4 linked regions of the Macaca fascicularis genome follow. The protein of the gene in region 2 interacts with the protein of the main gene of each other region in a biochemical or structural test. Links are inferred from orthologs where the notes say so. Each region holds a gene or a part of one and is shown on either strand. Other genes may lie near its edges. The genes, in order: COPRS, PRMT5, SNRPD1 and RIOK1.

The links.
Region 1: the proteins of PRMT5 (region 2) and COPRS form a complex in vitro, tested with the Homo sapiens proteins (3 studies listed by BioGRID, with this or other methods). The link is inferred for Macaca fascicularis from reciprocal best matches to the Homo sapiens genes PRMT5 and COPRS.
Region 3: the proteins of PRMT5 (region 2) and SNRPD1 form a complex in vitro, tested with the Homo sapiens proteins (2 studies listed by BioGRID, with this or other methods). The link is inferred for Macaca fascicularis from reciprocal best matches to the Homo sapiens genes PRMT5 and SNRPD1.
Region 4: the proteins of PRMT5 (region 2) and RIOK1 are reported together in a solved structure, tested with the Homo sapiens proteins (2 studies listed by BioGRID, with this or other methods). The link is inferred for Macaca fascicularis from reciprocal best matches to the Homo sapiens genes PRMT5 and RIOK1.

The regions. Positions count from the first base shown.
Region 1 is NC_088390.1:38,088,992-38,096,597, reverse strand, and holds the end of COPRS (coordinator of PRMT5 and differentiation stimulator), read left to right. Parts: intron 1-3,281; coding exon 3,282-3,500; intron 3,501-3,998; coding exon 3,999-4,168; 3' UTR 4,169-4,433; downstream 4,434-7,606. UniProt on the Homo sapiens protein: Histone-binding protein required for histone H4 methyltransferase activity of PRMT5.
Region 2 is NC_088381.1:90,667,766-90,675,930, forward strand, and holds the end of PRMT5 (protein arginine N-methyltransferase 5), read right to left. Parts: intron 8,152-8,165; coding exon 8,033-8,151; intron 7,748-8,032; coding exon 7,662-7,747; intron 7,177-7,661; coding exon 7,042-7,176; intron 6,351-7,041; coding exon 6,238-6,350; intron 6,104-6,237; coding exon 6,054-6,103; intron 5,846-6,053; coding exon 5,682-5,845; intron 4,632-5,681; coding exon 4,470-4,631; intron 4,302-4,469; coding exon 4,224-4,301; intron 4,134-4,223; coding exon 4,075-4,133; intron 3,989-4,074; coding exon 3,866-3,988; intron 3,780-3,865; coding exon 3,604-3,779; intron 2,770-3,603; coding exon 2,660-2,769; intron 2,450-2,659; coding exon 2,356-2,449; intron 2,174-2,355; coding exon 2,057-2,173; intron 1,855-2,056; coding exon 1,790-1,854; intron 660-1,789; coding exon 507-659; 3' UTR 133-506; downstream 1-132. UniProt on the Homo sapiens protein: Arginine methyltransferase that can both catalyze the formation of omega-N monomethylarginine (MMA) and symmetrical dimethylarginine (sDMA), with a preference for the formation of MMA.
Region 3 is NC_088392.1:68,134,722-68,143,248, forward strand, and holds part of SNRPD1 (small nuclear ribonucleoprotein Sm D1), read right to left. Parts: intron 5,182-8,527; coding exon 5,105-5,181; intron 3,518-5,104; coding exon 3,326-3,517; intron 1-3,325. UniProt on the Homo sapiens protein: Plays a role in pre-mRNA splicing as a core component of the spliceosomal U1, U2, U4 and U5 small nuclear ribonucleoproteins (snRNPs), the building blocks of the spliceosome.
Region 4 is NC_088378.1:165,586,463-165,594,110, forward strand, and holds the end of RIOK1 (serine/threonine-protein kinase RIO1), read right to left. Parts: intron 6,987-7,648; coding exon 6,933-6,986; intron 5,633-6,932; coding exon 5,480-5,632; intron 2,828-5,479; coding exon 2,717-2,827; 3' UTR 2,465-2,716; downstream 1-2,464. UniProt on the Homo sapiens protein: Involved in the final steps of cytoplasmic maturation of the 40S ribosomal subunit. Involved in processing of 18S-E pre-rRNA to the mature 18S rRNA. Required for the recycling of NOB1 and PNO1 from the late 40S precursor.

The sequences.
Region 1 (7,606 bases), on a different chromosome or scaffold from region 2:
CTGTGCCCGGCCCCCTGCCTTTTTTTTTTTTTTTTTTTTTGAGAGGGAGTTTCGCTCTTGTTGCCCAGGCTGGAGCACAGTGGCACAATCTTGGCTCACTACAGTCTCTACCTCCTGGATTCAAGCATTCTCCTGCCTCAGCCTCCCAAGTAGCTGGATTACAGGCATATGCCACCATGCCCGGCTGATTTTTGTATTTTTAGTAGAGATGGGGTTTCACCATGTTGGCCAGGCTGGTCTTGAGCTCCTGACCTCACGTGACCCATCTGCCTCAGCCTCTCAAAGTGCTGGGATTACAGGTGTGAGCTGCCGTGCGGCCCCTTTTTTTTTCTTTTTTTTTTTGTTTTTTTTTTTTGAGATGGAGTCTCACTCTGTCACCCAGGCTCACTGCAACCTCTGTCTCCTGGGTTCAAGTGATTCTCGTGCCTCAGCCTCCTGAGTAGCTGGGATTACAGGCGCACACAACGGTGCCTGGCTAATTTTTGTATTTATTTATTTATTGTTTGAGACAGAGTCTCGCTCTGTCTCCCAGGCAGTGGTGCGATCTCCGCTCACTGCAAGCTCCGCCTCCCAGGTTCATGCCATTCTCCTGCCTCAGCCTCCCGAATAGCTGGAACCACAGGCACCTGCCACCATGCCTGGCTAATTTTTTGTGTTTTTAGTAGAGACAGGGTTTCAGGATGGTCTCGATCTCCTGACCTTGTGATCTGCCTGCCTTGACCTCCCAAAGTGCTGGGACTACAGGCATGAGCCACCACGCCCAGCCTAATTTTTGTATTTTTAGTGGAGAGGGGCTTTCACTGTGTTGGCCAGGCTGGTCTCGAACTCCTGACCTCAGGTGATCTGCCCACCTCGGCCTCCCAAAGTATTGGGATTACAGGTGTGAGCCACCACGCCTGGCCCTTTTTTTTCCTTTTAAAGTAACTCTCACAACAACCCTATCTTCATTTTACAGATGTGGAAATTGAGGCACAGAATAGTTAAATAAAAACAATTTAAAAATTGTGGTAAAAGATACCTAACATAAATTTACCATTTAACCATTTTACAGCATATAATTCAGTGGCCTTTTAGCACAATGGCAGTGTTGTGCAACCATCACCAGTACCTAGTTCCAGAATCTTTTCATCACCCTAAAAGGAAACCCTGTGCTCACCAAGTAGTCATTCTCCATTCCTTCCTTCCCTGAGTTCTTGGCAACCACTAATTTGCTTTCTGTCTCTGTGGATTTATCTATTCTGGATAGGCAAATGTGAGTTGCCTGTAAATGGAATCATAACAACATGTGCCTTTTGTGTATGGCTTCTTCCACTTAGCGTATTTTCAAGGTGCATCCATGCCATAGCATGTATCAGCACTGCATTCCTTTTTATGGCTGAATAATTCCATCATACGCATATACCACATTTTGTTTTCCCATTCATCCATTGATGGACATTTGTGTTGTTTCTCCCTTTTGGTGATTGTAAGTAGTGCTGCTGTCAGTATCCTTGTTTTATTTGAACACCTCTTTTCAGTTCTTTTGGGTATATGTTTAGGACTGGGATTGCTGGGTCATATGGTAATTCTGTATTTATGTTATGGAACTAGTTAAGTAAATTTCAGCTCAGTCACACTTTTTTTTTTGTTTGTTTGAGACAGGGTCTCACTCTGTGCAATGGCACGATCTTGGCTCACTGCAGTCTCTGCCTCCCAGGCTCAAGTGATCCTCCCACCTCAGCCTCCTGAGTAGCTGGGATTACAGGTGAATGCCACTGCACCCAGCTAAATTTTTTGAAGTTTTTGTAGAGACAAGGTTTTGCCACATTGTTCAGGCTGGTCTTGAACTTCTGAGCTCAAGCAGTCTGCTTGCCTCGGCCTCCCAAAGTGCTAGGTTTACAGGGGTGAGGTACCACGCCCTGCCCAGTCCCATGTTTAGTACTTGGCAAAACAGGGATTTGAAACCAGGCAGTCTGGCTTTAGACCCCTTGCTCTGAACTATCACTTTATTGCTTATCACTGTTACTGTTGTTCCAGTATTAAGAGCATGGCTGTTTTAGGCTGATTGCCTTCTCTCCTGGGACCTGGCATCACCAAAGCACTGTGCTCGGAAATCCATTATCTTTCCCCAGTCTTTCCTCTCTTATTGTGAGACCTTTTGCAAATGTACCTTCCAGCCTCCCCACTGTCAGAAGGAGGCACTAGGTGCTGCCCATTGTAACTAGACAGGCTCTGGTCTGTCTGCAGTGCCCCTGCTCTCCTTTGTCCCTGTGCTCACCTCTAACATGCTCTTTGAGGCTGAAGGGAGGAATAAAAGAGCAAAAACGGCCGGGCGCGGTGGCTTACGTCTGTAATCCCAGCACTTTGGGAGGCTGAGGCGGATGGATCACAAGGTCAGGAGTTCAAGACCAGCCTGGCCAAGATGGTGAAACCCCATCTCTACTAAAAATACAAAAAAATTAACTGGGCATGGTGGCGGGCACCTGTAATTCCAGCTTCTCAGGAGGCCGAGGCAGATAATTGCGTGAACCTGGGAGGTAGAGGTTGCAGTGAGCTGAGATGGCGCCACTGCACTCCAACCTGGGCTACAGAGTGAGACTGTCTCAAAAAAAAAAAAAAAAAAAAAGCAAAATCTTAATTCAAGCTTGTATTGTGAAAGCGTATTATTTATCAGAGGCCCTTTGCCTCAGTGACAGACATGCAAACCACCTGAAAATGTTAACTGTCCCTAGCTCTCTTTGTAAATTAAAGGACCTGGCAATTAATGGTCTTGTATAAGACAAAACATCTTATTGAAAATAAGTTGGCCGGGCGCGGTGGCTCAAGCCTGTAATCCCAGCACTTTGGGAGGCCGAGACGGGCGGATCACGAGGTCAGGAGATCGAGACCATCCTGGCTAACACAGTGAAATTCCGTCTCTACTAAAAAATACAAAAAACTAGCCGGGCGAGGTGGCGGGCGCCTGTAGTCCCAGCTACTTGGGAGGCTGCGGCAGGAGAATGGCGCAAACCCGGGAAGCGGAGCTTGCAGTGAGCTGAGATCCGGCCACTGCACTCCAGCCTGGGCGACAGCGCGAGACTCCGCCCCCCCCCCCAAAAAAAAAAAAAAAAAAAAGAAAATAAGTTATCAGGTCTTTTAAAAACATACACAGAAGAGCATTTTTTAAAAAGTGCTCAGGTGGCGAAAGAAGACTCTGTGTACTTGCTTTACTACCTTCCTAGTAAGTCTGCCCAAAATTGACTGAGCACACAGCAGGTCCTCTTTGGTTTGTCACTAAGGCCATCTTCTCTTTGTCAATTTAGCCCGTGGAGCACAGAGCGTCCCTAATGACAGTCCTGCCCGGGGTGAGGGCACCCATTCTGAAGAGGAAGGTTTTGCCATGGATGAGGAGGACTCTGATGGAGAACTGAATACCTGGGAGCTGTCAGAAGGGACAAACTGTCCACCCAAGGAACAGCCTGGTGATATTTTTAATGAGGACTGGGACTTGGAGTTGAAAGCAGATCAAGGGAATCCATATGGTAGGTGTAGAGTCTCTGGGGGTCCTGAACCAGGCCTTCTCAGACACACCTGTCAGACTAGCGCTGAAGGCAGACAGTTTGGAACAGGGGTCCACATCTATGAGCTTAGGCTGGTATCTGTTACAGGTCTGCAATTTCTGTGACACCTCTTTTATATTGAAAAAAATACATTTGACTTCGTAATGTATCACTGTTTTAACATCAAAACTGTCACTGTCTCCAAAAATGTCTGCTATGAATTGAGCAGCTGCAGATAGAAGTGCTGTGTTATCCAGTTTGCTTCCTCTCCACTGCTAAGAACCCTTGTCTGAGAAGCACAGCTTCTCAGCTGTTCAGAATGAATGCATTTACAATTCTTCAGGAAAGGAGAACTGTGTGTGTTTTTAAACAAAATAAGTGCAAGGATCTGTCCCCTAGGCATACTTTGTGGCTGTCCATTTTTACCTTCCTTCCTTCCCTCCTTCCTTCCCTTAATCTGTCTTTTAAAACTGCCTGCAGATGCTGACGACATCCAGGAGAGCATTTCTCAAGAGCTCAAACCTTGGGTGTGCTGTGCCCCACAAGGAGATATGATCTATGACCCCAGCTGGCACCATCCGCCTCCACTGATACCCCATTATTCCAAGATGGTCTTTGAAACAGGACAGTTTGACGATGCTGAAGATTGAGTGTGGAGCTTTCTGCCTTGTAGGTGGGCGGGCCTCCACGTCAAGATCTCTTTTCCTGTCTTGGAGGTGAAAAGTGGTATCTGAGAAAACGTTCTCAGTGACCCCTAGTCTGCAGTACACAGACTAGTTCTTTATTGAACAGTGTTCAATAAGGCCCCGTCGTTCTCCCCAGTCTGTTGTTGTTACTAATGGGCTCCTCCTTGGAATGTGTATGTTTGTGTCAAGAGGAGTTGTGTTCTTTGTAAATAAAGGTGAAAAAAAGAAACTAGTATGCTTCGTCTGCTTTTTTCCCATTTATTTATTTATGGAGACAGTCTCACTGTGTCAGCCAGGCTGGAGTGCAGTAGCACAAACTTGGCTCATTGGAACCTCCACCTCCTGGGTTTAAGCGATTTTTGTGCCTCAGCCTCCCGAGTAGCTGGGACTGTAGGTGCATGCCACCACACCCGGCTAATTTTTTGTGTTTTTAGTAGAGACGGGGTTTCACCACGTTGGCCAATCTGGTCTTGAATTCCTGGCCTCAAGTGATCCACCCACCTTGGCCTCCCAAAGTGCTGGGATTACAGGTGTGAGACACTATGCCCAGCCTTCACTCCTTCATTTAAAGTCCCTGAATGACGTTTTAAAGATTGAAACGCTTGGAGGCTTAAAACTACTTTGTGAAAGAAAAAAAAATTGCCAGGCGCAGTGGCTCAAGCCAGTAATCCCAGCACTTTGGGAGGCTGAGACGGGCGGATCACGAGGTCAGGAGATCGAGACCATCCTGGGTAACATGGTGAAACCCCGTCTCTACTAAAAAATACAAAAAACTAGCCGGGCGCGGTGGCGGGCGCCTGTAGTCCCAGCTACTCGGGAGGCTGAGGCAGGAGAATGGCGTGAACCCGGGAGGCGGAGCTTGCAGTGAGCCGAGATCCGGCCACTGCACTCCAGCCTGGGTGACAGAGCGAGACTCCGTCTCAAAAAAAACAAAAAAAAACAAAAAAAATTTAGTTTTGCTTCTGTAGATCTGGCACTGTTGACCAAGGATTGAAATCCAAGAGACATTGGTGATTTTGTAGCTGATTGTTTTCCTGTTGGTAGAAAATGGAACATTTACTTAGTTAACAGGCTTTTCCCTAGGCTGAAAACTAAATGGGAAATTAGTTAAACCAGCAATTGCATAATCCTTAATTGACACTAAACTCAGTTTTCCATTTAATATTTTAATCCTTCCTTATGTGAAGTCTCTTAAAAATTTACCTCATTTTGGCTGGGCACGGTGGCTCACACCTGTAATCCTAGCACTTCAGGAGGCTGAGTTGGGCGGATCACCTGAGGTCAGGAGTTCAAGACTAGCTGGCCAACACAGAGAAACCCTGTCTCTACTAAACAAAAATTAGCCAGGTGTCATGGTGCACACCTGTAATCCCAGCTACTTGGGAGGCTGAGGCAGGAGAATTGCTTGAATCTGGGAGGCAGAGGTTTTGGTGAGCCGAGATCACGCCGTTGCGCTCCAGCCTGGACAACAAGAGTGAAACTCCATCTGCAAAACAAAACAAAACAAAAAAACCCCCAACTTTACCTCATTTTAGAGATAAGGAATGCAAGACTCAAAGTTTTGACCAGGCCGGGCGTGGTGGCTCACGCCTGTAATCCCAGCACTTTGGGAGGCTGAGGCGGGTGGATCACCTGAGGTCAGGAGTTGGAGACCAGCCTGGCCAACACGGTGAAACCCCGTCTGTACTAAAAATACAAAAATTAGCCAGGTGTGGTGATGGACGCCTGTAATCCCAGCTATTTTGGAAACTGAAGCAGGAGAATAGCTTGAACCTGGGAGGCAAAGGTTGCCGTGAGCCATGATCATGCCACTGCACTCCAGCCTGGGCAACAGGGCAAGACTCCGTCTCAAAAAAAAAAAAAAAAAAAAAAAAAATGTTTTGACCTCTTCAAGATCACACAGTGAGCAGCAGAACTGGGACCTAGATGCACATGTGACTCTGAGGTCCATTTTTGGCCCTGCGTGTGTGAGAAGATAGCACCATCTGGGGCCACGCCTTGGCAGGTCTGGGATCCATTAGAGTAAGTCACCTTTGTGTCTGACGGACTCAGGGATTGTTTCTTCCTGCCTCCTTACTGAAGCTGACTCAAGAAAAGCTTTTAGATGTGAAATTTTAGTCTACTCTTTAGCAGTTAATTGAGCATTTAACCATGTAAACATTTTCAAAGGCCCCACAAGGTGTGTGAACAAGGCAGAACCTTGTGAGGGAATGCAGTGGCTTTGGCGGTGAGGGGAGTCATGGCCAAGGCTGTCGTAGGGAGGAAAAAAATGCCCCTTCCGCTGTCTTTGTTAAAAGGGCAGTTGTGGGCCGGGCGCGGTGGCTCAAGCCTGTAATCCCAGCACTTTGGGAGGCCGAGACGGGTGGATCACAAGGTCAGGAGATCGAGACCATCCTGGCTAACACAGTGAAACCCCGTCTCTACTAAAAAATACAAAAAACTAGCCGGGCGAGCTGGCGGGCGCCTGTGGTCCCAGCTACTCGGGAGGCTGAGGCAGGAGAATGGCATGAACCCGGGAGGCGGAGCTTGCAGTGAGCTGAGATCAGGCCACTGCACTCCAGCCTGGGTGACAGAGCGAGACTCCGTCTCAAAAAAAAAAAAAAAAAAAAAAAAAAAAAAGGGCAGTTGTAGATCATATCACCACATCCCCCTTTCTTCCTCCTTGCAAGGTCATAGATGATGAGACCATGAGTATGTCTGACATGAAAAGGTAAACTTGAGAAACAGAGCCAAGAGATATTAGGGGTTTGAGGAGGATGGCAGAATTGCTGAAATGTCATGTTATTGAAAGGTTGTGTTGGCCCATGTGTGAGCAGGAGTTATGAGGCAGCTGAAACTATGAGTAAAGGCGGAAGTTGTGAGTTGGGGTATTATATATATAGGGGGGCGGGAGGGAGAGAAGAAAAAAATAGTATGAAGAACATATGTGCATGAGTAGCTAAGTAAAGAAAATTCACACAGCGTTGCTGCTGTGATCCGTGGAGGAGTTGTGAATCTAGGCCTGTTTTGCTATTTATTTATTATTTATTTATTTATTTATTTATTTATTTATTTATGAGACGGAGTCTCACTCTGTTGCCCAAGCTGGAGTGCAGTGGCATGGCCTCGGCTCAGTGCAAGCTCTGCCTCCTGGACTCACGCTGTTCTCCTGCCTCAGCCTCCTGAGTAGCTGGGACTATAGGCACCTGCCACCATGCCTGAATAATTTTTTGTATTTTTAGTAGAGACGGGGTTTCACCCTGTTAGCCAGGATGGTCTCGATCTCCTGACCTCGTGATCCACCCACCTCTGCCTCCCAAAGTGCTGGGATCGCAGGTGTGAGCCACTGTGCCCAGCCATTTATTTATTTATTTAGAGATGGAGTTTCACTTTTGTTGCCCAGGCTGGAGTGCAGTGGCACTA
Region 2 (8,165 bases):
GTCATTGCTCAGCTTCCTAAGTAGGGAATACAACTAGGCCCCTTTAGGTCTTGGATAAGGTATGAGGACAGATCTGAACATGCCTGGGTCTAAGTGAGGTGTGGGAAAACAGCGGCAGGGGCGGCAGGGTAGTGCAGGAAAGGGCTATAACTTTATTTGTATTTCCTCTTACACGAAACCATCAAAACAAGAACAGAGAAGGGCTGAACATCTGTCCAAACCCCATGTTCTCAGGGATATTCCAGGGAGCTCTTGAGGCTGAGTGCGTAGCTTCGAATCCAGCACTAATTCCTCACCCCCTGGCCTGAGGTCTTCACAGATTGGTGGCTTGAGCCCTGCAATTAATTATAATCCCTTGCCCACCTTGATGTAAGGCAGGAAAGCAGATTGAAATGCTCCTCTCTGATGGGCAAGGGGAATCACAGCCCATAGATGTACTGCACCTTCTGTACTACAGGAGCAGAACATGAAGCTGCTTCCAAGGCTCTGGACACTTGCACGCAGGGCTAGAGGCCAATGGTATATGAGCGGCCTGTGGGGTTGTGAATAGCAGAACAGACTGGTGCTGTCACAGCCCACTCATACCACACCTTCTTGGAATTGCTGCATCGCCAGAAACGCACACAGATGGTTTGGCCTTCACGTACCGTTATGGGCTGCTGTAAGAAGAAAGACAGGGAGGTTCAGGGTGGAGCTAATGAATTATAAATGGCAGTGTATTAAGGTAGGTGTGGAGATAAAATGATAAACATGACAAGACTGTCCCAACCCTCATGAAAGTTATTTGAAGCCTATCAGAACGCTGAACAATAAGACACTGAACAAATAATCAAAAGTGTGGTGAGTGCTGTGAACATGTACAGAGTGCTAGAAAAACAACTATGAAAGGGAACACTAACCTAGTCTAGGAGGTCAGAGAAAGTTTATCTCACAATAGAAATGTTTAAAGGAGACCTAGAAGATAGGTTAACGGTGTGAAGAGACAAGCAAAGAGCTCTGCAGGCAAAAGAGAGGCATGAAAGCCTGAGGTAGGAAAGAAGATCGACAATTAGAACCAAAAGAAGGTCCATAAGGCTGAAGCAGTGTAAGCAAGGGGACAGGAGCTGCAAAGGCAAGCAAACACTAGATCACATCAAGTCTTACAAGCAATGTTCCAGATTTTGACTTTTATCCTAAAGACAATGGGAAGGCATTGAAAGGTTTTAAGCAAAAAAGAGGTAAGATCAGGCCAGGCGCAGTGGCTCACGCCTGTAATCCCAGCACTTTGGGAGGCTGAGGCGGGTGGATCATGAGGTTGGGAGATCCAGACCATCCTGGCTAACACGGTAAAACCCCATCTCTACTAAGAACACAAACATTAGCCAGGCATGGTGGCTGGCACCTGTAGTCCCAAGTACTAGGGAGCCTGAGGCAGGAGAATGGCATGAACTGGAGAGGCGGAGCTTGCAGTGAGCCGAAATTGCACCACTGCACTCCAGCCTGGGTGACAGAGCGAGACTGTCTCTTTAAAAAAAAAAGAGAGAAAGAGAGAGATAAGATCAAATTTGAGTGTTTAAAAGATGGCTCTTGCTCAAAGTAGAGGACAGAAGGGTAGCCAGAATAGATGCGGGAAAGCCAGGCAGAAGGCCACTCCAAATACTCCCAACACCTACCACTGGGATCCAAGAGCATATGAAATCAGGAGAATATGAGTCATATAGTCAACTATCTTCCTGGGAGAAGGAAAGAGGCACAACACCAAAGGCAAAAGTTACTCCTTAACCTACAGAGTCTTAAAAGCAGTTCCTACCTTAATAGGGAAGAGGATGGGAAACCATGAGAACATCCCAGGAGAGTGAGTCTCTGGACGGATACCTGTATGGACAAAATAATGAAAAAACAGAAGTCTCCATGGCTGTGCCTTTAGCCTATGTTGAAGAGGGTCTCTTCTCTAATCACACAAAGATCTCCATTCATTGAGTACTGGGCCCCCCATAAATCTAAATGACACATGTACATATAAGCTGCCCAGGCAGCACACCCTCATACTCTGCCATCCACTGCCATAGACACTCACTCAGAGTGATGTCCTGATAAAGCACAGTCTCAAAGTAGCCTGCAAAGCCATGCAGTACTGTGTTCACCTCCACGGGAAACTCCAAGGTACAATAGCGGTTGTTGTCAATCATAGGATCTGTCAGGAAATAATCATGTGGATGACAAGGGGCCAGAAGCTCTAGACAACCTGGTAAACCATGAGCAAGACCCAGGAAGGGAAGAGTAGATAAGGCAGACTAGGGACAGCAAGGGAAGAAAGCAGGAGGAAGGAAGAAGCCCACACCCCTCTAGTCAGAGGACAGTCATAAAAGAATCTACCTCTGTTGGGATGGCTGAAGGTGAAACAGGGCTGGGGCGCAGAGAGCTGGTGGAAGTTGTGCAGCCGTACCACATAAGGCATCTCGAACTGGGCCTGTCAGAGACAAGGAGAGAGAGAGAGTGTTGGGGAAGACAGACAGGAGATACCTACTTCCCCAAGGATTAAAAAAAGTTTTACTTTAGTGCTTCCCCAATCCCTAACTTCTTCGCCTCTTCATCCCCAGCAGAAGAAAATAGCTGATGCAAATACAGAAAAAGAAGAGGACTGAAGAGTACCACTTCTTTCCAGAGAGTGTTTTTTTACCTCAGGGTCACGGTCCTTCTCCCTACAGGCCCGGACTTCATTGTACAGCTTGGAGGAGGAGATGGGAGCCAGGAAGGAAGTATATTCTCCGGGGATGCTCACACCGTCATCTGCACAGCAGGAGAGTCAAATTAGTTCCAGAGGGAGGGAAATGGTGTGTCTGTACTAACTGAAGGATCAGAAGGATCAAACCTCCCATGTCAAAACCAACCAACGTTGGCATGGGCATGGAAGAAAGAGACAAATGCATGTTGTCACATTATTAAGCCAGCCTTCCAACTACTGTCACGGATGATTCCACTTCTAGGTTAATTTACAGAGTCACACAGATAAAAACTGAAAGAACCCAAGATAGTCTAATCTGGTAGTTCTTAACTTTTGTGGGGTCACAAAGTCCCATAAAAGTTCCTGATGAAAGCTAAGCTCAGGGTACATACGTCAGCTCAAGGAGTCCATTCCCCTCATTATTTTTTATTTCATTATTATTATTTTTTTGAGACGGAGTCTCGCTCTATTGCCCAGGCTGGAGTGCAGTGGCACAATCTTGGCTCACTGTAACCTTCTCCTCCCGGGTTCAAACGATTCTCGTGCCTCGGCCTCCCGAGTAGCTGGGATTACAGGCGTGCACCACCACGCCTGGCTAATTTTTGTATTTTTAGTAGAGACAGGGTTTTGCCATGTTGCCTAGGTTGGTCACGAATTCCTGACCTCCCACCTTGGCCTCCCACAGCACCTGGCCCACTCCCTTCATTTTACAAATATGAACACTGAGGTTTGAAGAGACGACTTCATTTGCTAAGGGCACAGAGGCAGTGGAGCAATAGCTCTCAAACTCATATGATGTGACCCAGGTCCAACTCACTTTCCCCTAAACCCTGTACCCTCCTCCCAGGTAGATGTCTCATCCATCATCACCCTCCACCTACACCCCAACCTGGGTGCACCTTTTAGGAAGTGCTGGGCTCCATCCAGGCACTCAGGCGACAATTCATTGTCAGCAAATGAGCCCAGAAGCTCGCTGACAATGATGTCTGCTTTCTCTGGAGCCACCCATTCCCTCATGTCTGATGAGACTACGGTCACTTGGCTTCCCCATTCTTCAAACTGCCAGTTCTCTAGCCTGAAACAGAGACAATAAGGTGAGGAGACATGTTAAGGAAATTTGGCAATGGGGACTAACTTCCTAGCAAGCAGGCTGCTACTCACGTCACCACGGCATTTGGGTTTTTCTCCACAGCATACAGCTTTATCCGCCGGTCAGCCTGCTTGGCTGCCCGCAGGGAAGCGTTCACCAGGGGTCCCCGTCCTGCTCCCAGCACCATCAGTACCCTAACAAAGAAAGGGAAGAGTCAAGCAGACTTGGCATATACAGATGTAGATATGCAAGTCCCTGGGATTGAGGGGAAAGCACTCACTGGACATTGGTATCCTTCTCCTCTTCTGGTACTCGGTCTAGCAGACATTTATAGATGGCCTGGAGGAGAGAATATCCTATGGTTGTAATCCCAATCTCCCTAGGTCATGCTAGCCCTGTGCTTTCCTCACCCTGCATACCACACAGTACCTGCTGATACTGAGAGTATTTGATAGGGTCCTTTTCAAACACTTCGTATGTCTGAGATTCCAGATTGTCCATCAGTGGCTGATGAATGAGGAAAAGGATAAAGTTAGCCAGTTTCTGGCAAAGGACAATGCACTAAAATATCAAAAACTTTCCACTGCTTTCTGAGTTTTAGTAACATTTGGAGGCATATATTCTCAAGATACATTTTCACCCCACCTTCCTACTCTCAGTGCACTCCAGACCCACCTGAAGCGGGGACTGCAGATAGTCTTCATAGCCCTTGGCAAAGAGTTCATAGGCATTAGGTGGAGGACGGTTCTGGCTTAAGTATTCCAAGTACTGAAGGTAGGAGCAGAACTCCTTCTCTGAGTGGTGGTTGGTGCCTGTGATGATGAACTGCACCTCCAACTGTAAGAAAAGTCAGACTATCAGATACAGCCCGCAAACCAAGATTCGGGGCCCAGTGTAAAATATGGCCCAGATCAACAGCTCTCCTTTTTTTTTTTTTTAAAGATGGAGTCTCGCTCTGTTGCCCAGGCTGGAGTGCAATGGCGTGATCTTGGCTTACTTGCAACCTCCACCTCCCAGGGTCAATTCTTCTGCCTCAGCCTCCCAAGTAGCTGGGACTACAGGTGCGTGCCACCAGGCTTGGCTAATTTTTGTATGTTTAGTAGAGACGGGGTTTCACCATGTTGGCCAGGCTGGTCTCAAACTCCTGACCTCAGATGATCCATCCGCCTCAGCCTCCCGAAGTCCTAGGATTACAGGCGTGAGCCACTGTGCCTGGCCCAGACCAACAGTTCTCTAGTATCTGTTCCAATACCAACAAAGGCAGCATGAGGCCTCAGTAAACTTGTAAAAAGCCCTCTTGGCCGGGTGTGGTGGCCCACGCCTGTAATCCCAATACTTTGGGAGACTGAGGCAGGTGGATCATTTGAGGTCAGGAGTTCAAGACCAGCCTGGCCAACATGGTAAAACCCGTCTCTACTAAAAATACAAAAATTAGTCGGGTAGTAGTGGTGCACACCTATAATCCCAGCTACTCAGGAGAATCGCTTAAGCCTGGGAGGCAGAGGTTCTGGTGAGCTGAGTTTGCACCGCTGCACTCCAGTATGGGTGACAGAGTGAGACTCTGTCTCAAAAAAAAAAAAGAAAAGAAAAGAAAAGCCCTCTTATGCCATAAAAGTATCATCAACACCCAAAGAGCCTCATGGATCCTTGCTGTAACTTCCTAAATGAAACCTTCTGCAAAGTTCTCATGAGGTTTGGTTTGTTTTGAAAGGTTTCTAGGGCTATTACTGGCATTTATCTTTTTGTTCTCAAGACTCCCAACTTCACTGAAATTGCTCCCCAGAAACCAAAGAAAAAGAGTCAGCCTCACAGGAAAAAACGATCATACACAGGTAAATAAGGCAAGATGTATAGCTGGACCACCTTTAGAACCCTCCTACCACTCACCTTGAGGAGCCGGAAGATGAGCCTCTGGTGCATCTTAGAAAGAACAGGAAATCCCTTCTTATTGGTCAGGAAGATGCTAGTGGGGAGAATGGCTGCTTTGATGGGCTCCCCAAGCCAGCGATCAATGACATGATTAGATGGGAGGTCAGCCCCAATTTCAAGAGCTACATGAGACAAAGAAAAACTGTCAACCACTGCCAGGCAAGAAACCCTTCCTTGCTCCTTTGTGAAAAATCTGTTTACCTCTTTAAGAGAAAGGCAGTCTGAGACAGAGGGTAAGTAGTAAAATTGTATACTATATACAAAATTCCTGAATCTTATTCACAGGAGGTCAGAGAAGCAACACCCAACCCAGGATTCTCATGGACTCACCCACTGCAATCCTCTTACTATAGTCACACAAAGTCCGGAAGTTGTGCCACCTGTTCAGAGTCAAATACAGAAAAGTACAGTCAACTAGATACGGCCGACCAATCACCATAGCTCAAGGAGACCTCCCTATAGGTTTCACCCTGTACTTCCCCTCACCCTATCACAGCAGCAAAGGGAGACATACCACATCCATGTTTTCTCCTCCCCACTGTACTCCTCTGTGTGTGTAGTTGGTGCATTCTCAATTATATCATCTCTCAGGTCCTCTGGTGCCACCAAGGGTACCCGCATCCAGAACTGCACATGAACAGTCACCCTTTTAGAACACCCTTTTGAACTCACTCGGTCCAGAAAGTTTCCCTCAATCAAAAACTTCATTCAGACCTCGCTAATCCCTTTATATGCTTTTCCCAATTTGTGATTTTGTAAGTGAACATGTACCTTATGTATAGATCCTTATGTAAATATCTGCCTTATCTTACGTAAGTTTCCGAAATAATTACATTTGCATGTTTTGAAACTCTCTTCATACCACTTTTAGATGGAGAGGTGCGCAATATTGACCTTTTTTTTGAGACAAGGTCTGGCTCTGTCACCCAGGCTGGAGTGCAGTGGTGCAATCTCAGCTAACTGCAACCTCCGTCTCACAGGTTCAAGTCATTCTCCCACCTCAGCTTCCCAAGTAGCTGGGACTACAGGCGTGTGACACCACACCTAGCTAATCTGTGTTTTTTTGTTTTGGTTTTGGTTTTTGTAGAGACAGGGTTTCACCAGGCTTCCCAAGCTGGTCTCGAACTTCTGAGCTCAGCGATCTGCCCACCTCAGCCTCCCAAAGTGCTGGGATTACAGGCATGAGCCACTGTGCCCGGCAATACTGATACTTCAATTCTGCCAAACACACCCTTCACTGAATGGCTAGGCACAAGAAGGTACTTAGCACAATCTGACTACTATGATATGCAGCAGGAAAGGAGCCCCTCAGCTATACCATAGAAGAGTGATGGCCAGTGTGGATGTGGTTGGTCAAAACTCTGGCCAGGTTGGTGTTATCTTCCTGATTAAGGGGCAGCAGGAAAGCTGGAAGACCCAAATATGCACCAAAATTCAGCTCCTGTAACATGGCCTGGAATGGAGATGAAGAGGAAAAGGTTGAGCTAACAAGCAAATAGCTTTCTTTTCTTTTCTTTTCTTTTTTTTTTTTTTTTTTGAGACAAAGTCTCACTCTGTCACCCAGGCTGGAGTACAGTGGCACAATCTCCACTCATCTGCAGCCTCAACCTTCCCAAGCTCAACTGATCCTCCCACCTCAGCCTCCTGAGTAGCTGGGACCACAGGAATGTGCCACCATGCCTGGCTAATTTTTGTATATTTTATAGAGATGGGGTTTCACTATGCTGCCCAGGCTGGTCTCAAACTCCTGAGCTCCAGTGATCCTACAACCTCAGCCTCCCAAAGTGATAGGATCATAGGTGTGCACCATGGGGTCCAGCCTAATAGCTTTAATTTCATTGTATCAGTTGATTTACCAAGTTATTGGGGGTGGGAGGGGACCACTCTCCCTACCCAGCTTGGTTAGAAAGATCCAGCATAGAAGTCAAAGAGTCTTACCGCCTCGGAGTTCCTGCGAATCTTCTCCACTTTTGAGTCTGGACGAATCCATGGAGAAAGCTTTCCCACAATTAGCGTATTCCAGTCTGCACTCCCCCACCCAAGAGAGACAAATACTGAATAAGGTTCAGCACTTTACTTGTTCAATTTTTAGTTTTGGGAATCAAGAGTAGAAATGAGAGACAAAGGTTTTTTCTACATAGACATGGGATAGCCTGATGCAGAATAGAGAAGCAAGGAGAAAACAAGTTATCTATATCCCAGGGACTAACAAATATATCCAAGTCAGAAAAGGAGAAGAATCGGGGCCCCGATAAAGCAGAAGTTGTTATTGCCTCTAATAATTAAGGGGCATATGGGATGGTCCCTACCCCTTCCTGACAGCAGTAGGTCTGATCGTGTCTGGGGGCCGGGCCGATTCTTAGCAGGTTCCTGAATGAACTCCCTCTTGAAACGCGGATGGAAGACAGGCATGCAGAGGAAATCAAACCTACAACCGCGACA
Region 3 (8,527 bases), on a different chromosome or scaffold from region 2:
CTGTATTAGCAGCTACAGTAAATAAAAGTTTAACTAGCTTCTGTTAAATGTGTTAGACTTCAGATTCTCCCCACCCCACAACACATTATCATGCAGAACCAAGAACTAAAGGCCTAGGGAGATTATTATTTGTTTCATTTCAATTTATTTACTAAGAAATGTGTCAAACTTAAAAAAATAATTTTTCTTTATATCATGTCTCAAATTCACCATAAAATGATTTGAATCTCACAAAAAAAGGAAGATACATATCATAGAATAGAACACGATCACCTTGATGCCAGAGTTTTGGTAACTGAATAAAATCCAAGCAAGTTAATTCAAAACCAGGGAAGTTTAAATCTATTACATCAAATCACAATCTTATTAACTCTTCAGAAAATTGAAACTATTTTGACCTACACATAATCTAGTGCTTTAATCCATATAGCAATATCCCTGTCACTGGGTCATCCTAACTCTAGTTGAGTATCATGGTGACAGGGAATTTATCACCCAAATAAACTTATTTCATCTTCAGACAGCTAAGAATATTAGAAAATCCTGACACAGAAGTCAGTTACATTCTAAATGTTTTGCTTTTTTTTTTTTTTTTTTTAAATACAAGGTCTCTCTCTGTAGTCCAGCCTGCAGTGTAATCACACCTCACTGCAGTCTTGAACTCCTGGGCTCAAGTGATCCTCCCACCTAAGCCTCCTGAGTAGCGGGGACTACAGGTACAAGCCATCAGGTCTGGCTAATTTTTTAATTTTTTGTAGAGATGAGGTCTCCCTTTGTTGCCCAAGCTGCTTTCAAACTCGTGGACCAAAGCAATCCTCCAGCCTCAGTCTCCCAAAGTGGTGGGATTACAGGTGTGAGCCACCGCACCTGGCCACATTAGAAATTTGTACACGCTGATTCTAGTCTTACCATTCCAAGCAATAAACAGTGAGTTTAAGATGCTAATTAAGGGACATTCCACAAAATAACTGGCCCGTACTCTTACAAAGTGTTAAGGTCACAAAAGGAACCAGCTGATACACATTAAAAGAAACTAAGGAAACGAACAACTAAATGCAACCTGTTGTACTGGATTGGATCTTGGACCAGGAAAAGGACATTAGAGGGACAATCAGAGAAACGTGAAAAAGGTCTCTAGATAATATAATAGTGTCGCATCAATATAAAATTTCTATTTTTTGTAGTTACATGAAATTTTAACATTTAGGCAATGTTGGTGAAAGTGTATGGGAATTCCTTGTACTATTTTTGCAACTTTTTGTGTCTAAAATTATTTCAAAATGAAGTGTTAAATTGGGGGGAAAAACAGAGTTGGAGCAGTGTTGTAAAAAACAACAACAACAACAACAATAAAAGGGCTGGGGACCTGTAATCCCAGCTACTCGGGAGGCTGAGGCAGGAGAATTACTTGAATCCGGGAGGCAGAGGTTGTAGTGAGGCCTGGGCGACAGAGCATGACTCTGTCTCAAAAAAAAAAAAGAAATAAAAAGAAAAGAAAATGGACCAGGTATGATGGTGGCTCACACCTGTAATCCCAGCACTTTGAGAGGCCACAGCAGGATTGTTTGAGACCAAGAGTTCAAGACTAGCCTGGACAACACAGGGAGACCCTGTCTCTACAAAAAAATTAAAAAATTAGCCAGATTTGGTGGTGCATATCTGTATAAAAGAAAGATAAATTAAGAAAACAACTTTTTAAGAAGTGGGGAGTGGGTGGGGGGCAGGCATAAATAATTTTATTTATTTTTTTGAGACAGAGTTTCACTCTTGTTGCACAGGCTGGAGTGCAATGGCACGATCTCAGCTCACGGCATGGGCCACCGCGCCCAGCCAATTTCAGTTATTTTAAACTATATTATTTTAAATGTGTACACACAAAAACAGTAAGTCTAGGACGCATGTTAAAATGAACCAAATTGACCACACTTATCTCCAATTTCTTCTGAAATAGTATTTATGATAGAAAAGGAACAAAAACGGTAAGTACCCAGAAGAACAAAGAAAAGCAGAGAAAACATAGTAGATAAAAGATTTCGGCTGGGCGTGGTGGCTCATGCCTGTAATCCCAGCACTCTGGAAGGCTGAGGTAGGTAAATCACTTGAGGTCAGGGGTATGAGGCCAGCCTGATCAACACGATGAAACCCCGTCTCTACTAAAAATACAAAATTAGCTGGGTGCGGTGGCACACACCTATAATCCCAGCTACTTGGGAGGCTGAAACAGAAGAATCGTTAGAACCCAGGAGGCGGAGGTTGCAGTGAGCTGAAATCGCGCCACTGCACTCCAGCTTGGGTAACAAGAGTGAAACTCCATCTAAAAAAAAAAAAAAAAAAGAAAACAAAAAAATTTTTTTCAACAAAATTTTAAATCAGAAAATAGACTTGGAACTGTAACATTTAGTAAAGGAAGAATAACTTCTCAGCGTGGAGTAAGATGATACGAGGCAGGGGGCTTTCAATCATCAATTCCCTCACAGGTAGGTAGGTAGTAAAAGTAGAATAACCCTAAAGACATTAAGGCAAAAAGTCCTCAGATTTGAAAATACAGTCAGCCTTCAATATCCATGGGTTCCACATCCATGGATTTAACCAACTTTAGGCCTATGATGGTTGTCAGACTTTTTCTTGTCATTAACGCCTAAACAATACAATATAACTATCTACAAAGCATTTACATTATACTGGGTATTACAAGTGTACAAAAGGATGTGCAGAGGTTAGATGGAAACACTATTACCATTTTATGAAAAGGGACTTGAGCATCTGTAGATTTTGGTACCCACAGGGGGTTCTTGCAAAGTGGAAAGCAGCATGATACACAGCATGAGAGGTTAAATCATTGTTTTACAAGCTATGGATTACAACCATATTATTATTATTATTTTGAAACAGAGTCTCACTCTGTAGCCCAGGCCGGAGTGCAGTGGCATGATCTTGGCTCACAGCAACCTCCGCCTCCCGGGTTCAAGTGATTCTTCTGCCTCAGCCTCCCAAGTAACTGGGACTAAAGGCATGCGCCACCACGCCCAATTTTTTTTTTGCATTTTTAGTAGAGATGGGATTTCTCCATGTTGACCAGGCTGGTCTGGAACTCCTGGCCTCAGATGATCTGCCCGCCTCGGCCTCCCAAAGTGCTAGGATTACAGGCGTGAGCCACTGTGTCCAGCCGCATCAATGTTTTTAATAGCAACACCAGGAGTTATAATACACATTATAAGAAATATTAAAAAACAAAGACACTTGTGTTGTTTGCAAATATTTATATTATGAATAGTGTGGATTAGGATTAGCATTCACAAAAATTTTTATAATCCTTCAAACTTACCAGCTTCCCTTTTCTTAGATTTCACCTTAGGTTCAACATCCACAAGTAGTGTATCCAGAGGTAAACTGTCTGGTAGAATAAAATACCGAATGTTATTTCCTCGAATACTCAGCGTTTCCAGCTGTACAGGTTCTCTGTTCTTCAGGGTCATTTTCACAGCTTTAAGATGTGTATTCATGCTGACATCCACACCTAAAAAGAAAATAATTGGGCAGTTATTAGTATGATAAAAGTCAGGCAACTAATTAATCTACTGAGCCACAGTAAATACTGGACTACAAAAGAATACTGTTCTGCTACAGTGCAAGTTTTCTATGACATAATTTAGCACATATGCAACTGGTAAATGGGGGAATAACGTCAGTATAAATCAGCAGTGTTTCCTTCCTAGAGATTTTTCCTAGCACACTAAGTTTTGCTTACAGAAATGAATGCAGCAAGCAATGGAAGAACCCTGACTGGGCTTCAGGCTCACTACTGATCTGACAGGTATTTCTTGAATGTTTCTCTCACTGTCTTTGTGACTTTCTCATAATCCCCATTCCACTAAACTATCCTCACCTTTGTTTCTGCTTCTCTCTATATGTAATAATTGTTACCACTTTTGTTAAGAATATTTTGATTACAAAGTTACACAGGCTTTTAAGTAGTCTGCAACACCTATTCTTCTCATTAAGCTACTATTTTTAGTATGAGAGTTTACAAAATACAAAGCAATTTTTTAGGGTGATTATATGACATTATAGCTGAAACACCTGAATACTGAAGCCTTTACCAAATTATACCTGAACTAATGGGATAACTAAAGACCTACTTAGGCCAGGTTTGGTGGCTCACGCCTGTAATCCCAGCACTTTGGGAGGCCGAGGCGGGCGGATCAACTGAGGTCTTCTGACCAGCCCGGTCCAGTTCAAGATCAGCCTGGCTGACATGCTGAAACCTCGTCTCTACTAAAAATACAAAAATTAGGCCAGTGCAGTGACTTGACTCACGCCTGAAATCCCAGCACTCTGGGAGGCCGAGGCGGATGGATCATGAGGTCACAAGTTCGAGACCAAAACCCCATCTCTACCAAAATTAATCAGACCCTGGAGGCGGAGGTTGCAGTGAGCTGAGACTGTGCCACTGCACTCCAGCCTGGGCAACAGAGTGAGAATCCGTCTCAAAAAAAAAAAAAATGTACCCAGGCATGCTGGCAGGCACCTGTAGTCCCAGCCACTCGGGAGGCTGAGACAAAAGAATTGCTTGACCCCAGGCAGCGGAGGTTACAGTGAGCCGAGATCATGACACTGCACTCAAGCCCAGGTGACACAGCAAAACTCTGTTTAAAAAAAAAAATAGGCCGGGCGCGGTGGCTCACGCCTGTAATCCCAGCACTTTGGGAGGCCGAGGCGGGCGGATCACAAGGTCAGGAGATCGAGACCACGGTGAAACCCCGTCTCTACTAAAAATACAAAAAATTAGCCGGGCGCGGTTGTGGGCGCCTGTAGTCCCAGCTACTCAGGAGGCTGAGGCAGGAGAATGGCGTGAACCCGGGAGGCGGAGCTTGCAGTGAGCCAAGATCGCGCCACTGCACTCCAGCCTGGGCGACAGAGCGAGACTCCGTCTCAAAAAAAAATAAATAAATAAAAAAATCAATCAATCAATCAATTACATAATTCAGACAAAAGAATAAGAATCTGTACTACAATAACGTTCATTAAGCAATCAAAAAATAAACTCTGGATAGCAGGTAAAAGAGAAGAAAAAAATGTTATAAAAGTAGTCCAACCTCCGTACCTGTGATTGTTCCATGGACCTGTGTTCCGTTCTTCAATTCAATGGTTACAGTTTCATGACTCAATTTCATCAAAAATCTATAAATAGGAATAAAACCATTAATTTTTACCTGCAACACTTTAAAATCACATTTATTAAGGTAAAAAGATGAAACAACTAGACGCTGAAAATTTGTAGATGCTATCTGCATCAATTCCTATCAAGAATATGCTAACAATTTCAGCTTTCCTGAATCATATCCTCAACCTTTATGAAGGAACACAACAATACTAAAATGAACTGTCATTTGGACGTTTCTAATTCTCAAACCTCAAATCCAGACATACAAGATCTCAGACTCATAAATCATGAAAAATAAATAAAGAATTACAGTTGGTAAAAAGATTACAAGTTTATTACAATATTTATACATAAAGTAAAAATCTCCCTTCCTAACCCCCTGCACTGTGGGTATGTAGGAATATTATTCCAGATCATTTTATATGCACATTCATAAGCATATATACAGATTTCTTTTTACATAAATTGGGTCATATTTTATTCACATCTGTAACTTGTAGTTCTCGTTCAGCAGTTTATATTGGACATATTCCCATTTCAACATACAAAACACTCTAAGAACTGAGACTGGGTACAGTGGCTCATGCCTGTAATCCCAGCGCTTAGGGAGACCGAGGTGGGCAGATCATCTGAGGTCTGGAGTCCAAGACCAGCCTGGCCAACATGGTGAAACCCCATCTCTATAAAAACACAAAGATCAGCTGGGCAGGATGGCATGCGCCTGTAATCCCAGCTACTCAGGAAGCTGAGGCAGGAGAATTGCTTAAACCTGGGAGGCAGAGGCTGCAGTGAGCTGAGATCGCACCACTGCACTCCAGCCTGGGGAGAGAGCAAGACTCCATCTCAAAAAAAAAAAAAAAAAAAAAAAATTAGCTAGGCATGATGGAGCACGCCTGTAATCCCAGCTACTTGGAACTCCGGAGGCAGAGGCTACAGTGAGTGAGATTGTTCCACTGCACTCCAGCCTGAGCGACAGAGCAAGACTCCATCTCAAAAAAAAGCCAAAATAACAAAATAGGCCGGGCGCGGTGGCTCACGCCTGTAATCCCACCACTTTGGGAGGCCGAGGCGGGCGGATCACAAGGTCAGGAGATCGAGACCACGGTGAAACCCCGTCTCTACTAAAAATACAAAAAATTAGCCGGGCGCGGTTGTGGGCGCCTGTAGTCCCAGCTACTCGGGAGGCTGAGGCAGGAGAATGGCGTGAACCCGGGAGGCGGAGCTTGCAGTGAGCCGAGATCGCGCCACTGCACTCCAGCCTGGGCGAAAGAGCGAGACTCCGTCTCAAAAAAATAAAAAAATAACAAAATAACAAAATAACATTCTAAGAACTGAAAAGTATTCCACTATATGGAAATGTCAAAATTTATTACCTCCCTGTTGATGGACATTACTTTGGTTCAATTTTTTCCCATTACAAACCCAATTATGCAAACCCTCACCAACACAAGTTGCTGTTAAGTCTTTCAAATTTTTGTGAATTTGATGGCGGGGGGAATTTGTTTTTCCTTAATTACTTGTGAGACTGAATATCTTTTCATTAATATGGGAAAATTATTTCTTCCGTGAATTACCTGTTCACATTATTTACATATTCTCAATTAGGTTGAGTTTTTCTTTTATTTTCTACTTGTTTGCCAGTCATTCAAGTTTGTGGTTTATGGTTTCTTTAGTCACACAAACTTTTTTCACTTTTATGTTTTGAATCTGTTCATCTTCCTGGGATACATAATTTGCCTAGGAAAGGGTTTTTTCTATGCCAAGATTGTAAAAGATAGTATCTTATTTTCTTCTACTTTTAGAGTTTTAATCTACTTGGAATTGATCTTTTTTTATGCAGTGTAAGGCACAAATCTGTCTTTATTACTTTCCCCAACTGAATAGCCAGTTGCCTTGATAATATATAATGAACAAACTATCCACTTCTTACTTCATCTAGATTTCTGTTCTCCCCTTTTTATAACATTTTGCAGAGGAAGAAAAGTTGAAGGGTTTACAAATATTGTCAATTGCCAGTGCAGAGGTTAATGCCTGTAATTTCACCACTTTGAGAGGCCAAGGTGGGATGACTGCTTGAGGCCAGGAGTTCGAGACCTGCCTGGTCAACAGAGCAAGATCCTGTCTCTACAAAAATAAAAACAAAAAAATTTAGTTGGTCGGGCACGGTAGCTCATGCCTGTAACCCCAGCACTTTGGGAGGCCGAGGTAGGTGGATCATGAGGTCAGGAGTTGGAGACCAGCTTGGCCAATATGGTGAAACCCCATTTCTGCTAAAAATACAAAAAATTAGCCGGGTGTGGTGGTGCAGGGCTGTAATCCCAGCTACTCAGGAGGCTGAGGCAGGAGTATCACTTGAACTTGGGAGGCAGAGGTTGCAGTGAGCCAAGATCGTGCCATTGTGCTACAGACTGGTTGACAGAGCAAGACTCCATCACAAAAAAAAATAAAAATAAAAAAATTAGCTGAGCATGTTGGTTCATGCCTGTAGTCCCAGTTCCTTGGAATCTGAGGTGGGAGGATCACTTGAGCCCAGACTTCGAGGTTGCAACAAGCCATGATTGTGTTACTGCCCTGGAGCCTATGTGGCAGGGAAAGACTCTGTCTTTTAAAAAAATTCTATTTTTTTTTTTTTTGAGACAGTCTCACTCTGTCGGTGAGGCTGGAGCACAGTGGCATGATCTTGGTTCACTGCAACCTCCGCCTCTTGGGTTCAAGCAATTCTGCCTCAGCCTCCGAAGTAGCTGGGACTACAAGCACCTGCCACCACACCTGGATGATTTTTGCATTTTTAGTAGAGACAGGGTTTCACCATGTTGGGCTGGTCTCGAACTTCTGACCTCAGGTGATCTCCCCACCTCAGCCTCCCAAAGTGCTGGGATTATAGGCGTAAACCATGGGGCCTGGCCCTTTTTTTTTTTTTTTTAAGACAAGAGTCTTAGCCAGGTGCAGTTGCTCATGCCTGTAATCCCAGCACTTTGGGAGGCCGAGGCAGGCGGATCACCTGAGGTCAGGAGTTCACAAGCCTGGTTAACATGGCGAAAACCCGTCTCTACTAAAAATACAAAAATATTAGCCAGACTTGGTGGCACATTACTGTAATCCCAGCTACTGGGGAAGCTGAGGCAGGAGAATTGCTCGAGCCCAGGAGGCGGAGGTTGCAGTGAGTCAAGATTGTGCCACTAAACTCTAGCCTGGACGACAGAGCGAGACTCCATCAAAAACAAACAAACATTGGCCGGGCGCGGTGGCTCAAGCCTGTAATCCCAGCACTTTGGGAGGCCGAGACGGGCGGATCACAAGGTCAGGAGATCGAGACCATCCTGGCTAACACGGCGAAACCCCGTCTCTACTAAAAACACAAAA
Region 4 (7,648 bases), on a different chromosome or scaffold from region 2:
CCAACATGGTGAAACCCTGTCTCTACTAAAAATACAAAAATTAGCCAGGTGTGGTGGCGGGCACCTATAATCCCAGCTACTCGGGAGGCTGAGGCAGGAAAATCACTTGAACCTGGGAGGTGAAAGTTGCAGTGAGGCAAGATCGCACCACTGTGCTCCAGCCTGGGTGACAGAGCGAGACTCCATCTCAAAAAAACAAAAACAAAAAACAAAAAAGAAATGGTGGTACTTTCCGGCTGAGAAACGTTCTATTCCTAAACAGGTTTATCAAAGGAAGAATGAGTGATAGCAGCATAGGAAAGAGCTGTCATTTTGTGCTTCAAAGAAGTTATCTAGATTTCTCATAGTAAACTTTTAGAAACATCTGCATTATTTTGATGAATGAGAATCATCAACAACATATGAAATCAGATATAACTACAACCAACAAAATACTGTCCCCAGCTTTGGGCCAAGAGACCCAAATTTCACCTTTCCAAATAGAAAGTAACTGTACAACCAATAATCCATTAACCTAAAACCTGCCAAACAATCAAAAGTCAATTGTTATCAAAGTCAGCAAGCAGCCCTGCTAGTTGTCTGCCTAAGATTAGGCTCCTTCTAAGCCTTCTGATGAGGACAATAATTTCAGGCAAGGTTGGCAAGAATACGATGAGTGGCTAAACCAGCCACAGCCTTACGACCCAGAATCCAAACAAGGATACGGCCGTATCAGCGAGAGGGGTATCAAAAAAGCTTTTCCCAGGTTAGAATCTTCATGACCAACTCTTGATGTTTTACAAGTCACTTCCTCCCAGTAGCAATGTAAGAGAATGAACTGCCCCACAATCCTGCCATTGCTACATCTGGCCAAATGGCACTGATTCCAAGCTTGGAAACTGCGTGATTCAGCAAAAGATAGCGCTGAGGAGCTTGACCTCCTGAGGCAAACATACCATGTCAGAGAGTAAGACCGAAACAAACACAGGAACTGGAAGATCCTGAAGATAAACTCCCCAGAGGTGTGCAGGATTCATGTCTGCTTTTGCTTTTTCTTTCATTGTGCTAACTGTAGACTATTTCACAGGGATTATTTCTGTGTTTCATTGAAATTATATTTCACATGTTGAACTTTAAAGTCAAAATAAACACAATAAAGAGCTCAAATGATTTCCCCCAATAACCCAGTCAAATAAGCAGGACTGAACTTCAGTTTCAGTGAAAACTAGGGGTTGGTTTTTGGAAATTATTTCTAAATGCAATGACTACAATAGTCACTTCTAACATAAAATGTACCATTAAAAAAACTATATGGTAATTTCTTTTAGTATCTGTGCTATGTTGCAGTGTAAGATTTTATCTCACCCTCCTACCCTCCCCAACCCTGCTCCCACCCACAGTCTTTCCCATCACAGTAAGTGGCAGCTCCAGTCATCTCACTGGCTGCTCAGGTCAGAAACCCTGAAGTCACCCTTCACTCCTCGCAATCTCATCTCTTCCCTTAGAACGTGCAACCGCTTCTCTCATGTCAGCCACCATCCTATACCAAGCCATCAGTGTCTCTTGCTTGGGTTTACTTCAATGAACATACCCACGGGTCTCCTACCCTTGCTTCCTGGTCGATTCTCCACAGAGGCCAGAGTAATCCTTTTAAAACAGAAGTCAGATCGTATCACTCCCTGCCAAAACCCTCCCACAGCCATACACTATCTGATTGCATCGACTACTTTCTCCCTTGATGATGATGTCTCAGCTCTGTTTCTGGAAGTTGTCACGTACACTCCTGCCTCAGGGCTTTGCAACTGCTGGTTGCTCTGCCTGGCATGTTCTTCCTTCCTGTTATGCACACGATTCACCTTCTTCAAGTATTTGCTCAAGTATCGGCCCGCAGTAAGGCCTTTCCAGGAACCCTATTTTAAACTGCAAACTCCTGCAAAATAGGCGCCCTCTCATCTCTGCATTATTTCTCTCCATATAATTTATCATCTGCTGATACACCACTTTTTACTTATTTTGGTTAATGTCTTATCTTCCTATCAAAATGTAAACTACTCAAAGGTAGTAATTTTTGCCTAGTTTGTTTTCTGCTGTATCCCCAGCAACTAAAATACTCAAATTTTTGATGAATGAATGAATATGCCAAATGATTGAATGTAAAAAACTTGATGAACTGAGAGGTCCTAGCTCCAAAAAGAACATTAAAGATGAAGTGTAAGAGCATTACAAATGATCACCAATATACACAAGAGCAGAGTTGCAGTGAATGATTAAATCAACAGCCAGCTGAATTGTGAGTGAAATTCCCTTTACATAAACATGGCCTTATAATCAGATGACCTCAGATGGGTCTCTGGTGTGTACAAAGAAAGCAAAACCAATTTTCCCATGAGTGCCTCTGGACACTCACGTAAGAGTTATAGATATTGACATTTAAATATTTATCATGCTTCTGAAAACATATTTGTAAGAGAAAAACATATAAAAATAAAAATGTACAAAGTTCTTTATTAAAATAATAGCTTAAATAAATCCTCTGTCAACACCAGAGTCAGGGACTGGATCTAGACTCTAGAGCTTAGAGTTTTTTACATAATTACATGAAAACACTGAATCCGTCTTCACAGACAGACATGATGACAATTTGGTTAAAATCAATAAGCCATCTTCCAGACGCAGCTTAGAGTTCAGGCGAGAAAAGTAACTGATGACAATGACTGTACATAATATGGTTCTCGTTCTATTTGCCTTTTTTCGTCTTGGCTGTCTTCTCCTTTCTTTTTTTCACATGTTTAGGAATTTTGTTTTTTCTTTTCTCTCTCTGGGCTTCCTTGACCATCTTTTTTCTTTCCTGTAAAAAGCAAACAAAAAAGCCAAATTTCATTCATTTGGAGTATGCATTTTTTTTGTTTTTTGTTTTTTTGTTTTTTAGACAGGGTCTTGCTCTGTCGCCCAGGCTGGAGTGCAATGGTATGATCATGGTTCACTTCAGCCTCCACCTCCTGGGCTCAAGCAATCCTCCCACCTCAGCCTCCTGGGTAGCTGGGACAACAGGCGCACACCACCACACCTGGCTAGGTTTTTTTGGGTATTTTTTGGTAGAGATGGGGCTTCACCAGATTGCTCAGGCTGGTCTCAAACTCCTGGGCTCAAGTGATCCATCCACCTCAATCTCCAAAAATGCTGAGATTACAGGCATGAGCCACTGCACCCACCTGCAGTATTCTTCTTATTATTATAACTAAATAAAATATACACACAGAAGAATAAAAGTGAGTGTAATGTAAAACAAAGAAAAGAAAATGATTATGGGTTGGTGGAGAACTTGGGGTGAAAATTGTCTTTGAGCTTGTTCTTTTTAGAGACAGGGACTCACTCTGTCACCCAGGCGGGAGGGCAGTAGCAGGATCATTGTGCACTGCAGCCTCAAGCTCCTGGGCTCAAGCAACCCTCTTGCCTCAACCTCCCTAGTAGCTGAGACTACAAGCATGAGCCACCATAACTGGCCTTGAGCTTCCTTAATAGAAATGTGAAGACAGCCAAACAGAAATATCCCTAAGAATGTTATTAAATGTTTGCAAATACTTTTCTTTACAAGTTCCATATTCTAACAGAAACAGACATTGGAAAGAGACAAAATATGTATTTCTAGTAGACATACGAGAAAATATGCTAGCAGCTGAGTATGTCCCTCAGAAGTCTTGGGACCCACATTGTATATGGTTTAAAGGATTAGACTAAGATGGAATAATAATAGTTACATAGCATTCAGTCAGCAGTGTCTCTTATGTCTATGGCTAGCAATTAAAGAAATACAAGAGTCCCTTCTTATCCATGGGGGATATATGTTCCAAGACCCCCAGTGGATGCTTAAAACAGTGGATAGTGCCAAACCCTATATATACTATGTTTCTTCCTATATATACATACCTATGATGAGGTTTAATTTATAAATTAGGCACAGTAAGAGATAATAACTAATAATAGAATAGTAACAATATACTATAATAAAAGTTATTTGAATGTGGTCTTTCTCATTCTCAACATATCCCACAGTATCATACTCATGTGACAGTAGCTTATTCATTGGCAGATGCAGCCTCTCTGGTAATTTTTCTGTTTTTTAGTCCAAACCTATTCCTGAATCTGTTTAACTGTTCCTTACAGTAAATGGCCTGGTGTCACTCATTTCAGGGGAACTCTTGCTGAAACCTTTGAAACCTTCGTATAGGCTCAATGCTTTCCGGTGCAACATGGTGTGGTCAACTGGAAGATGTTTTTGTTTACATCTTTCACCCACAAATGTAATGCCTTTTCCATCTTAACTAAGCACTTATCACATACTATGGCCCTAACTTTTGCAGTTTGGGGTGAGATAGCAAAACCAGCAAAAACATCTTTTTCCTTCTCCACAGTGTCACGGATAAAAGATTCTCATCATAGATCTCAGCAACTTCAGCATATGATTCTTTTCCTTTTCTTATTTATTTTTTTGAGACAGAATCTCACTCTGTCACCCAGGCTGGTGTGCAGTGGCATGATCAGCTCACTAGAACCTCAAACTTCTGGGCTCAAGGGATCCTCTTGCCTTAACCTCCCAAGTATCTGGGACCACAGGTGCTCATCACCAATGTTTTAACAGACAGGGTATCACTCTGTTGCCCAGACTGGTCTGGAGTGATCTGCCCTCCTTGGCCTCCGAAAGTGCTAGGATTACAGGCATGAGTTCCTTGCTAAGTCAAGAATGGTCACCTTTCCACTTAAAGGAAGACCTTTATGGCTTCTCTAAAGCACACCTGAACTTCCAACATCACTACTCTTGTAATTTATGGACATTATTAAGCAAAGTAAGGGTTACTTGCACACAAGCACCACAACATCACAGCAGCTGAACCGATAGCCAAGAAGACTACTAAATGACTAATGGGTGGGGAGTGTCGACAGTGTGAAGACGCTGGACCACGTGGTGATTCACATCCCAGGCAGGATGGAGGAGGACAGCATGAATTTCATCACACTACTTAGGACAGTGAGCAATTCAAAACTTATAAATTGTTTATTTCCGGAATTTTCCATTTAATATTTGCAAACCAAGGCTGACTGCTGGGAACTGAAACAGTAGAAAGTGAAAGCATGGAAGCGGGGACTATTATACAGTCTTTCAGATTCCAGAAACATCAAGCTGGGCTATAAGTCCCCCTGAAATGGCTCTTCAGTATTTACCCTGAGTCAACTCTAACATCACTTGTACTTCATACGAAATGTACGGAATTTAGTGCGTGCTCTCTCTAGGCAATGCCCAAGGTGCTCCGATGAGCAGTCCAATCTTGAGATAACGTTACCACCAAAAGTCAAGTTCACACTTAGGTATTAAAACTGTAATTAGAGGTACTTATCAATAATGTTTTCAGCCATCACAATCTAGCTAGATCCTTGAGCAAAGAGAAACAAGAGCCGCTGTGCTCCCACACTAAAGAAAAGGGGAATGTATCTCATTGCTTACTTTTTTATCAACGTCAGGGCCCGTGGTGTGTTTCTTGGGGCGGGCATGGTCTCCCTGCTCTTCAGAGTCTGTGTCAGAGCACTCAGAGCTTCCAGTATCTTCTGAATCAGAACAAGTCCTTTCCTCCACTTGATTTTCTAGGAGTGCAGGGACCTTGAAATTATTAAAGAACCATGTTATTCTAAACCATGTAATTCTAAACAACACATAAACCAAGTTATGTGTTGTTGCTAAATGTGTTAATGCCAGAATTCAGATTTTAGGCTCGCAAATACATGTTAAAAACTAACATCCTGTACTGAAACATTAAAACACCAGAATGAACATCAGGAGGGAAATATGAAAGTAGCCACTCCAAGTAAGGCTCAAGAACATACCCAAATGAAGGAACCAGGGTTTTACTGCGTGACCTAGACCAACGACAAAACCGTTCTGCTTCTTTCAGCTGATCAGGGGCATTTAGTTGGGACTGGGAAGGAGGCGAAATATACATAGAGGTAGAAAATAAAGATTTATACGGATAACTTCACAGCTGTTTTCCTGTGAACCACATTTCTAGCAATAAACTAATCAAATTGAGAGGGAAAACAATATTCAAAGAAGAGAAATTTTCACTACTTCCTGAAATTTAGCAGTTGTCTAATACAGTGCTTCCCAGCAGTTTTTAAGAGTGAGGTTTCCTTTTTATAAGGAAAAAAACAGATCTTTAGAAGTCAATTGTACAAGATTTTCTAGCTTGCTGCAATAAAATCTTCATGCTCTGGAATCCAAAGCATAACTTCCTTATGACACCTGTTATTATAACTCAGAAATGCAAAATACCAGAATTCCCCTAATTCAATTCTTTCCACAGAAAAGACATGATTTTAAGAAAGCAAACTGTGATCCTTTAAGTCTTCAATTAGGAAGATTTGAAGAAATAAAGACTGCTTTTATGACTGCCTAAGTTAGAATTACTTAATCCCTGTCCTTCTAAAATGTAAAACAAAACAAGATTGTTTTAAGAAAAAAGAACATTACAGGAATCCAGCACAGCAGGATTGCTGAACTCATGAGATTGTTCTTTAACAAGTAATATCCTGGTAGGAGACCACATTCCACAGTTTTCCTAAGCTGGTTGTAAAAACCATCAAGAAGCACAATGGCTATCATTAATAACTCCACAAATGACAACTAGAATACAAAAAGATAAATACCTCACCTGCAATTACAGAACAATTCAGAGACAGAAAAATAATTTCCAAATTTCAGTGCTATGTTTAGAAAGAACATAAAAATGGCATTTCTGAAGATGTCCACAGACTTTGAAAGCAACTATAAAATTTTAACAATATAAAATAGCATTAATTTAGTTCTAATAATATTAAATAATAAAAACAAATAATATGACTAGAGTTTTATATCCTTTATAAGTGTTTTCACATAAACGAACAGTAATACATGTTCTTCATACCTTCTGAACTCCTGACAAATCTTTCTTCAATCCAGTGACAGTTTGGTATAGAATCTTATAACCAAAAGGAAAAAAAAATAAGGATCAACATAAAACTAGACAATGAAATATGCATATTGTACTACTAAGAACAATGTGGGTTAAATAACATCTCCTATGATTATACAAAGGTATCTAAAATTAATCTCACTGTAACACAGAAAGTTTATATTATTTCTGTCTACCAGATCTACTGGCCAAATCCAACCAGCCACCTCATAGTTGTTCTTTTTTTTTTTTTTGAGACAGAGTCTTGCTTTGTCGCCCAGGCTAGAGTGCAGTGACATGATCTTGGCTCACTGCAACCTCTGCCACCAGGGTTCAGGAGTTTCTCCTGTCTCAGCCTCCTGAGCAGCTGGGATTACAGGCGCCCGCCACAATGCCCAGCTAATTTTTGTATTTTTAGTAGAGACGAGGTTTTACCATGTTGGCCAGGCTGGTCTCAAACTCCTGACTTCAGCTGATCCACCCACATCGGCCTCCCAAAGTGCTGGGATTACAGGCGTGAGCCTCCATACCCAGCCTTTTTTTTTTTTTTTTTTTGAGAGACAGTCCTGCTCTATAGCCCAGGCTAAAGTTCAATGGTGCAATCTCAGCTCACTGCAGCCTCCGCCTCCCACGTTCAAGTGATTCTCGTGCCTCAGCCTCCCCAGTAGCTGGGATTACAGGAGCACGCC